Linked DNA regions of Drosophila melanogaster. The protein of the gene in region 1 interacts with the protein of each later gene in a pairwise test. Each region holds a gene or a part of one and is shown in the gene's direction. Other genes may lie near its edges.

The links.
Region 2: the proteins of CG42690 (region 1) and Cnep1r1 interact in a two-hybrid assay, tested with the Drosophila melanogaster proteins (one large-scale study listed by BioGRID).

What each region holds. Positions count from the first base shown.
Region 1 is NT_033778.4:19,943,558-19,947,721, reverse strand, and holds CG42690 (uncharacterized protein), read left to right. Parts: upstream 1-1,844; 5' UTR 1,845-2,041; coding exon 2,042-2,141; intron 2,142-2,188; coding exon 2,189-2,283; intron 2,284-2,335; coding exon 2,336-2,492; intron 2,493-2,552; coding exon 2,553-2,614; 3' UTR 2,615-2,782; coding exon of another isoform or gene 2,783-2,882; intron 2,883-2,935; coding exon of another isoform or gene 2,936-3,030; intron 3,031-3,090; coding exon of another isoform or gene 3,091-3,241; intron 3,242-3,303; coding exon of another isoform or gene 3,304-3,374; 3' UTR 3,375-3,459; downstream 3,460-4,164. Other genes in the region: CG30447 (uncharacterized protein), read right to left, coding at 1-389; CG42691 (uncharacterized protein), read left to right, coding at 1,051-1,150, 1,198-1,292, 1,344-1,500, 1,559-1,629; CG43195 (uncharacterized protein), read left to right, coding at 2,783-2,882, 2,936-3,030, 3,091-3,241, 3,304-3,374.
Region 2 is NC_004354.4:22,943,377-22,947,125, forward strand, and holds Cnep1r1 (CTD nuclear envelope phosphatase 1 regulatory subunit 1), read left to right. Parts: upstream 1-1,944; 5' UTR 1,945-2,108; coding exon 2,109-2,480; 3' UTR 2,481-2,632; intron 2,633-2,694; 3' UTR 2,695-2,963; downstream 2,964-3,749.

The sequences.
Region 1 (4,164 bases):
ATTTGTGTTTCCTCCACCTCTTTAATGATTCCTATCCGGGACTCATTCTGTATATTCCGGTATTTGCTATACGTAATTTCTTTCCTATTTAAAAGAGCGTACAGACGACGGCGTTTCATGATCTTCGACTCTAAGGACTCCGAATAAGTTGGCGGTTCCATCTTTTTGTTGATTTCAGAAGCAAGTATTCTGCTGCACTTAAAATTGTTCCAAACGCGAGTAATAGCCGCACTACCGCCAAAGGACGTGGGTCCCTGGTAAAACGGCGAGCTTAACGTGAAAAGTTGCTTAGTCCCAGAGAATGTTGGATGTGCTGACTCGTTACGTAAGTCGCTACTAGTGGCGTCGCTCATACCCTTCTGAGAAAAATCAAAATCTTTCGACATCATGCCTGCTTACTTTCAGAAGGAAAATAATACGAAAATGATTAGTCTATATGAAAAAGATTCAAAGTTTTCCAAAAAAATATACCTTCCGGAGTTTGATATGTTTCAGCTTGCAATAATACAATCACTAAGACTTGTCTTAGATTTCGAAGCCTACTATGGAAATCACCACAAAACAAGAGAGAATGCTATAGAAGATTTTTTTTGGCAAATGGATAGAAATTTACAACACTAATACAATTTTTAAAAAATATGCAACAATTTTTAAAAATGTGGTCGCGGCACATTTAGGCGGTTTAGGGCGTTAGAGTGTGTGTGGCAAAAATTTTTTTCTGCAAATCGATAAAAATTTACAAGACAAATAAAAACGTAAAAAAATACCAAAACATTTTTCAAAAGTGTGGGCGTGGCTTACTCTACGAGTAACGGGTATAAAAGTCAGTATGGCAACCACCTGCAGTGTTACCCATATTTATCGTGTAAAATTATTCATAGAAACAAAGCGTCTTGGCATTAAATGTCACTTCAAATAATAAAGAAACGGAAAATCATGAATATTTTGATTATGTACTATTTATATTTCGGTAAAAGACGTAAATTGCATAATGAAACATTATCATTGTGATTAAAATCCTCTTATCTTATCACTCATTCAAAAATTGAGATGTGCTGCAATGTGAGTCGCCAATACAGTTGCGTCGTTATAGGAGTGCTGGCCCTTATTGTAGCGTCCTTAGATCTAGGATACCGAACTCATCTGCTAGGTAAAATAGTGCCATATTATGCATTTATATATTAGTTAATTTCGTAGCCACATATGGTTTGAATCGTTGGATACTGGCATCTGTGATTGCCTGGTTGCTCATAATCATGGCCGCAGTTGTTCTGATTGTAGGCGCAATAAAGGCAAGTAATTATTAAAGAAACGAAAAGAAATGTAAATTTTTCTAATTGTAGAAAATAACTACTCTTCTGCTGATTTGGATAATAATCGTACTGATTGTCGGAATTGCTCAAATTTTTATAAAAATTGTGTTATTCACTCCAGCCAAAAACATTCATCCAAGTGACGCATACTATATTCTTGCAGGCGGCTTTATAATACTTCTAATACGTAATTTAACAATTCAAATTTTCTTTTTAGCAATATTTTTACGACAATTTTTTTCCAGTGTTGGTATTTTGTTCCGCATACTACCCTTATGCATACAAACGTGAACTTGAAGAAGAGGAATACGAATAAATTAAATTTTCAATATCAACGTGTCTTTTATGAAACCACATTTGAAATCTACGATTTTCATTTTAGCAAAACTCTTGAGCCACTTTTAATTACTACCATTTTCATTTTTGTAAAATTCTTAGTAACAAATGACATAAGTTTCTGAATATTTCATAACTCTATTTTTGGGTTAACTAACATGTTAGTTGACTTGTATATCAAAACCTGTGTTAAATATCAATGAAAACCAAAGTAATTTGGACTTAAATGTCAAATAATTCTGTAGATATTCTGTATAAATGCTTTTTACATAAAATTTATATTTCTCTTTCCCTTGCAAAATTCATAATGGTGAAAAATAATAACATTCCATCGCATCCTGTAATTTTCGGATTTATAAATTTTGGAATTATTATCTACAGAACCGATTGAGATGTGCTGCAATGCCAACCGCCAGCTATTATGTATCTTTACCGGAGCATTGGCGATACTGATATCAACTTTATGTTTAGGATTCATGCTTTACCGGCTAGGTAAAGTAAGGTTTATAAAAAATATACTATTATAACAATGTTTTTAGGCACGACTGGTATAAACCATTGGGAGGAGGCGTACCTGGTAGCCTGGGCTGTCATTATTTTAGCAGCGGTACCTCTAATTGTAGGAGCAATAAAAGCAAGTAAGCGCGAAGTAATAAATATCCAATATTACCCATGTCCTGTTTTAGGAAATTCGCTATCTTTTGGTGATTTGGATAGTAGTCGCTTTAATAAGCGGCATTTCTCTGATAGTTATTCAAATAGAAATGTTTCATAGCTTTTTTCATAAGGATCCTGATACAGCCTTTCATATTCTCGGTGGTATAGTCATTATAGTTTTCGTATGTATGTTAACGTAGTTGTATTATAATTTTCATTTTAATAATAAAAAATTTAATTTTTCAGTATTGCTCTGCTGTTTTCTATACTTCCCATATACGTATGCGCGTGAGCTGGAAGGAGATTAATACGGATAAAACGGATAAAAAATATCCAGTGTCTTGGACTTAAATTTCAAACAAAATTATCAGTTTGAAACCATTTTTTTTTTTTTGTATATTTTTAGTTGCTTAAATCAAATGTTGTTTCCTGTGGATATATGGGAAATACTTTAAAATTGGAAAAATAAAACTACAATGTGCTTGAATGCGAACCAAAAGCCTTGTTGCGTGATAATTGCCTTGGTTGCGATTTTTGTCGGAACTATAGAGACATCTTACGAGTGCTTTCATTTAGGTAAGAATTATTCTACTATAAAGCTACCAAAATAATATCTGCATTATATTTAGCCTTGCATGGTATGAACAATTGGTTAGTGGCAGCATTGATCGCATGGATTCCCATTTTTATTGCTGCAATTTTTCTGATTATTGGTGCACTTAGGGTAAGTATTCGCTAGTAAAGACAATCTATGTTTAATTTAAGATACAAATGTTTTCTCAAGGAAATACCTATTCTTCTGCTTATCTGGGTAATAGTGTCACTGATTTGCGGAGGTGCTTTGATAATTATAAAGATCGGATTGATGATATACCTGAATAGGCTTCGTATATATCTAGATATTGTGGTCGCCATTTTGAATGTAATATTTTTAAGTTAGTCAATTGGAACTAAAATTTTCGCTAGTATATGAATAATACGACCAATTTTTTTTCAGTGCTGGTCTTCGTTTGGGCGGCCTATCCTTATGCATACATGCGTGAACTGAAGGAGCAGCAAATGATTTGAAATTATCACTTGGGCGTAGATGATGGAAATATCATAAATAATGGCAGTGCTGAAATTATTAAGAAATATTACTGAGCCCATTTATAAAAACTTCTTTATATTATGTAATTTCCAAAAAGGGGGAATTTTGGTTATATATTTTTAACAATGATCAATAAACGTTAAGCCACGTTTGTCTGTCCGCTTTTACTAAAAATCAACATACAGACTGTGCGATATTCCGACTCTGTTGCATGACTTCAGTTTTTTTTATTAAACAAATAGCAGCCAGTGACCAGGGGATGCGAATTTGCATAAAATAACAGAGGCAATAACAATGGGTGACAACAAATCAAATGCAAATGGTAAACCGACCGCAAATAGAAAGTGAAAATCAAATACAAAACGCTACCGTTTATTTCTGTGCTTTCGTATCTCGGCACTTTCTGGCCGATTTTTGGGTCTTTTGTGTTTATTTGTCGGGCGACTAATTTAAATAAACATTTGTTTGCACAAAGGCTTTAATACGTTTGGCAAATGACTTCCTGAATTGTGTGCTGCATATACCAGGGTACCAGCCCAACTGTTGGCTACTCGGATTGCATAATCAGTGAGACAAATGCCGTGGATTATGAAATCCTTCGCTCACAGCCTGCAAACCCAGCAGAAAACACGAGCACTGCGGAGACGCCACCGAGCTGTGCAACAACCTGTCGCATATTTAAAGCGATTAACGGCACGATTTTAGCCGCTGACTGCCAGCAGCACCGCAGCAGCAACAGCACAGCAGCAACATTGCAGCAACAACATC
Region 2 (3,749 bases), on another chromosome or scaffold:
GCATAAGTATTTGGACAAAATAAACGCTGCACATTTGTCAGTGAAACTTTTAAATGGTTTGATATGGTAGTATTGATTATTTTGTATTTTTTTGTGTTTTTAATTAAACTTAAAAAGTTATAAACAACTTAATGAAACATGATAATTTTTTGTTTGGCATTATATTTTGACAAACTCATTTAGTAAATGGTGTTCTGCTTTTGAGCACGTGTTAATCAACAATTGTTTAAATTGAACTTTTTTGGATATTGAACTTTAATAAAAAACAAAAAATTAATTGATAGCCATGGGTAAAAAGGCTAAGTTAAGTTTATTTATTAGATCAATGGTTGCACAGTTTAACGTTGGAATTAAAGTAAAAAACATTGCAAATGAGTTTAATGTGTCGCGACAAGCTGTGTATTATCAAATTAAAAAGTTTAAGAAACATAATGACTTAAACCTAAACAAGAACAGGCCGTTGCAACGCAGTGGAATCTGACCTCCAGCCTTCCGAAAAGTGAACGTAAGGCAATCAGTGAGTGGACATTTCGTCGACGTTTAAAGGAACAGGACACTGCTAATCAGGTATATTTTTAAAAATTAACTAGCTTAAAAGGCTGAAATTTGCAAAGGAATTGGCTTTCTTTATGTCAAAGCAAACGAAGATATTAGTAAGTGGCTAGTCATTAGTAACTTCTAGGAGAACAGGTAAATAATCTGAACTGAGAGTGTTTATTACTCGCGGAGTTATAAGATATTGTGGGCGATTTGTTAGGAAAAAGTTTAGAGTACATGGTTGACCGTGCTTTCCTGCAGGCATATAGGTGTGGTCAAGGGGATACAGTATTTAAAAGTTGTTGCTGTCAACTTTGGATTTTAGCAGGTTACCCCACGAGTTTGCCCGGCGACATCCCCAAGACTGGTGTCGGCAATTTAGGTCACCTCCTACAATATAAGGCACATTTGCGCTGCTTAATTGGCGAATGTCGGACAAAAAGAGTTGATTTTTCTGAGGATTTACTTGACCTCATGGAAAGTAACAAGACTAAATAAATGTCTGAGTGCCAACTATATTAAAAATATTTACGCCAATAGGTAGCAGGAAATGGCGAATACTTGTTTATATACATGTATATTGCAACCCCTCCCCCTCTTTTGACTGTTCGATCGTTTCAATAACAGCTATAGTTGCGTATTTTAACGTGTTGTAAGATGTTTTTAACCAGGTTTCAGAAACTAGGCAAATGTCAACATTATTACTATATAGAAATTGAGAAATTGATAGTCAGAAACGCTTCCTTTTGCCTGTTACATACTTTCAACGAATCTAGTATATCCTTTTTCTTTACGAGTAACGGGTATAAAATGGTTAGAATTCCGTCGTGCAATGCAATGTATTTCTATGTTTTTGAAAAACATTCCAAGCCAAATTATATGCACTCGCGTGATGGCTCTATAAAAATAAAATTTTTCAATGTGAAACACTCAATCAAATCAACAATCTTAGGCATAACTAGAATCTGCAGGATTAATCTTAACTTTGTAGCTTTTATAGTTCCCAAAATTTCGACGTTCATACGGACGGAGAGAGTTACAACAAAGACACTACAATAACAAAATGCGTAACGCCATACGATTTTTTTTTTGGCGTGGCTCTAGAGGTGGCTCCAGGGTCTCTCGAATTTTTGTTCAAGAGCGAGAGAGCGGAAAGCTGTACAGCGAACGTTTCATTTCTACGCATACATTCTAGTTTCTTTGTTTACTACTATGGTGATCTAAACGAAATATAACAATATAAACATTTATTTTAAATGTGGTGGGATAATGCATTACATTATAGGCAAAATAGTGGATATTTTACAATCTCAATGTATGTACTTTTTACAAGGAAGTAAAAGTGAAAGCATAGAAACCATCACAGCACTCGTTTCTTGAAAATCATATCATTATTACTTTGTCTTTTTTTTCAAACAGATTTCGTCTTTACCGAAAAAAATTATTATCGTGTCAGTAAAAATTCTGCAAATGATGCGGCCTTGCTGCTGTTCGTAAAATAGTAATTAACGGGGCAATCAGCATTGCAGCGCCCAGGGGACCGCATTAGAGTCAACTCCTTTAGCAACAGAATGGAGGACACAGATCAGGAAGACCTGCTGGCTTTCGAGCGTCGGCTGGCTGAGGTGGTAAACACTGAGAAACGGAGTTCACTCCGCTGGCGCTTTGTTCTGGGCGCCATCTTCGCCTGCTCGGCGATCAGTGCCTGTCATTGGGTTCGGGATGCCAAGGAAAGCGAGTCGGTGGTTTTCCAAATCCTGTCCAGTCAAAGCGCCTTTGCCTTCTCCCTGGCAACCATATGCCTGCTAATCTTTTATGGATTCAATCACGCCACTAAGCAGGACCCCAGTATCCTGCGTGACACCCAAGAAATGCTGTCTCCGTTCCGCCTTAACATTGATAACCAGGGACGTCTCATCCTACTTCCACGGCAGACAGAGTAGCTGAATATATGTATATCCCCAAAAACACATTTTTATTGACGGCGTTCCAGTGGAATAAATGATCCAGTCAATAAATGATCCAGCTAGTCAAATAAATGATCCTCAAAAATGGAAATGGACTAGGTATTGCACACCATGACAAATTTCGCGAGGTGACTTCTTGAAACTAATTGTTTTTTATTTACTTTTGAAACGTTATAAATTTTATTTCTAGTTAATTAGCGCTTAGACTAGCGACGACAACAATACAAAAAAGTTCGCTGACAATAATGCTTAGCGATCAAGAAGCGAAGAGTGGACTTAAAAACATGCATTGCATAGAAATGACCGAGATAGAGGGCTGTTAGTGCTGCGGCCTTAAATTATAAAAGGCTACAGAATTCGATTTTGCTGTTATGAAATCAAAAGGAGTTGGCTGCTGTCGACACAACAAAAGTGGGCATAAGTATTTAGACAATAAATACATTCAATATATTTGTTTATAACTCATTGTTTACTTAATGGGAAATTGTTTAATAATTTTCGTATATATGTAGAATATACATATACATATATATGTATTTATATGTATATGTATATGTATATATGTAGTAAAATAATCATATGGATTATTTAAATGTCATAAATTTAAAAGAAAAAAATCAACAAAAAAATTATAACAAATTAATAAAAAATATACCCTCTCTTAGCGTCTATCAACTTTTGGAGACGTTTTGGTACAGAGTGTACCAAACTGTGGTTATAATCTATTGAAATATACTTCCATAAGGCTTGAATTTCCAAAATCGTTTCTTCGCGACTCCTAGATATGTTTGCACGCCTTTTCTTTATACATATATGACCAGAGGTTTTCTATTATGTTGAGGTCTGGACCTTGAAATGGCCAACCCAATGTGTTTACGTTAACATTTTTCAGAAACTGCGTAATTAGCTTGGCTGGAGTATATAGGACTCCCCAAAAAATTTATCACCAGAGGGGAATGCATGATGCTGCGCAAATGGGATACATTATGGAAAATCACTAAAGCATTACTGTTTTTTTTGAAATAATTGAAGTGGCCGGTTTGGACCACCCAAATACGCCACTCCCCTTCCCGTAAAGAGAACCCTATACTTATACTTGGGCTGGGACTGATGGATATAGTATGGGAAATGGAGTTTCTTCTATTTCTTTTTGTTGTGTTTTGATTTGAATTTTTTCTTATTTTAAGTTTCGCATACAGCATCATAAATGGCTTAAGTGGTACATATCTTAAATATAAGTACAAC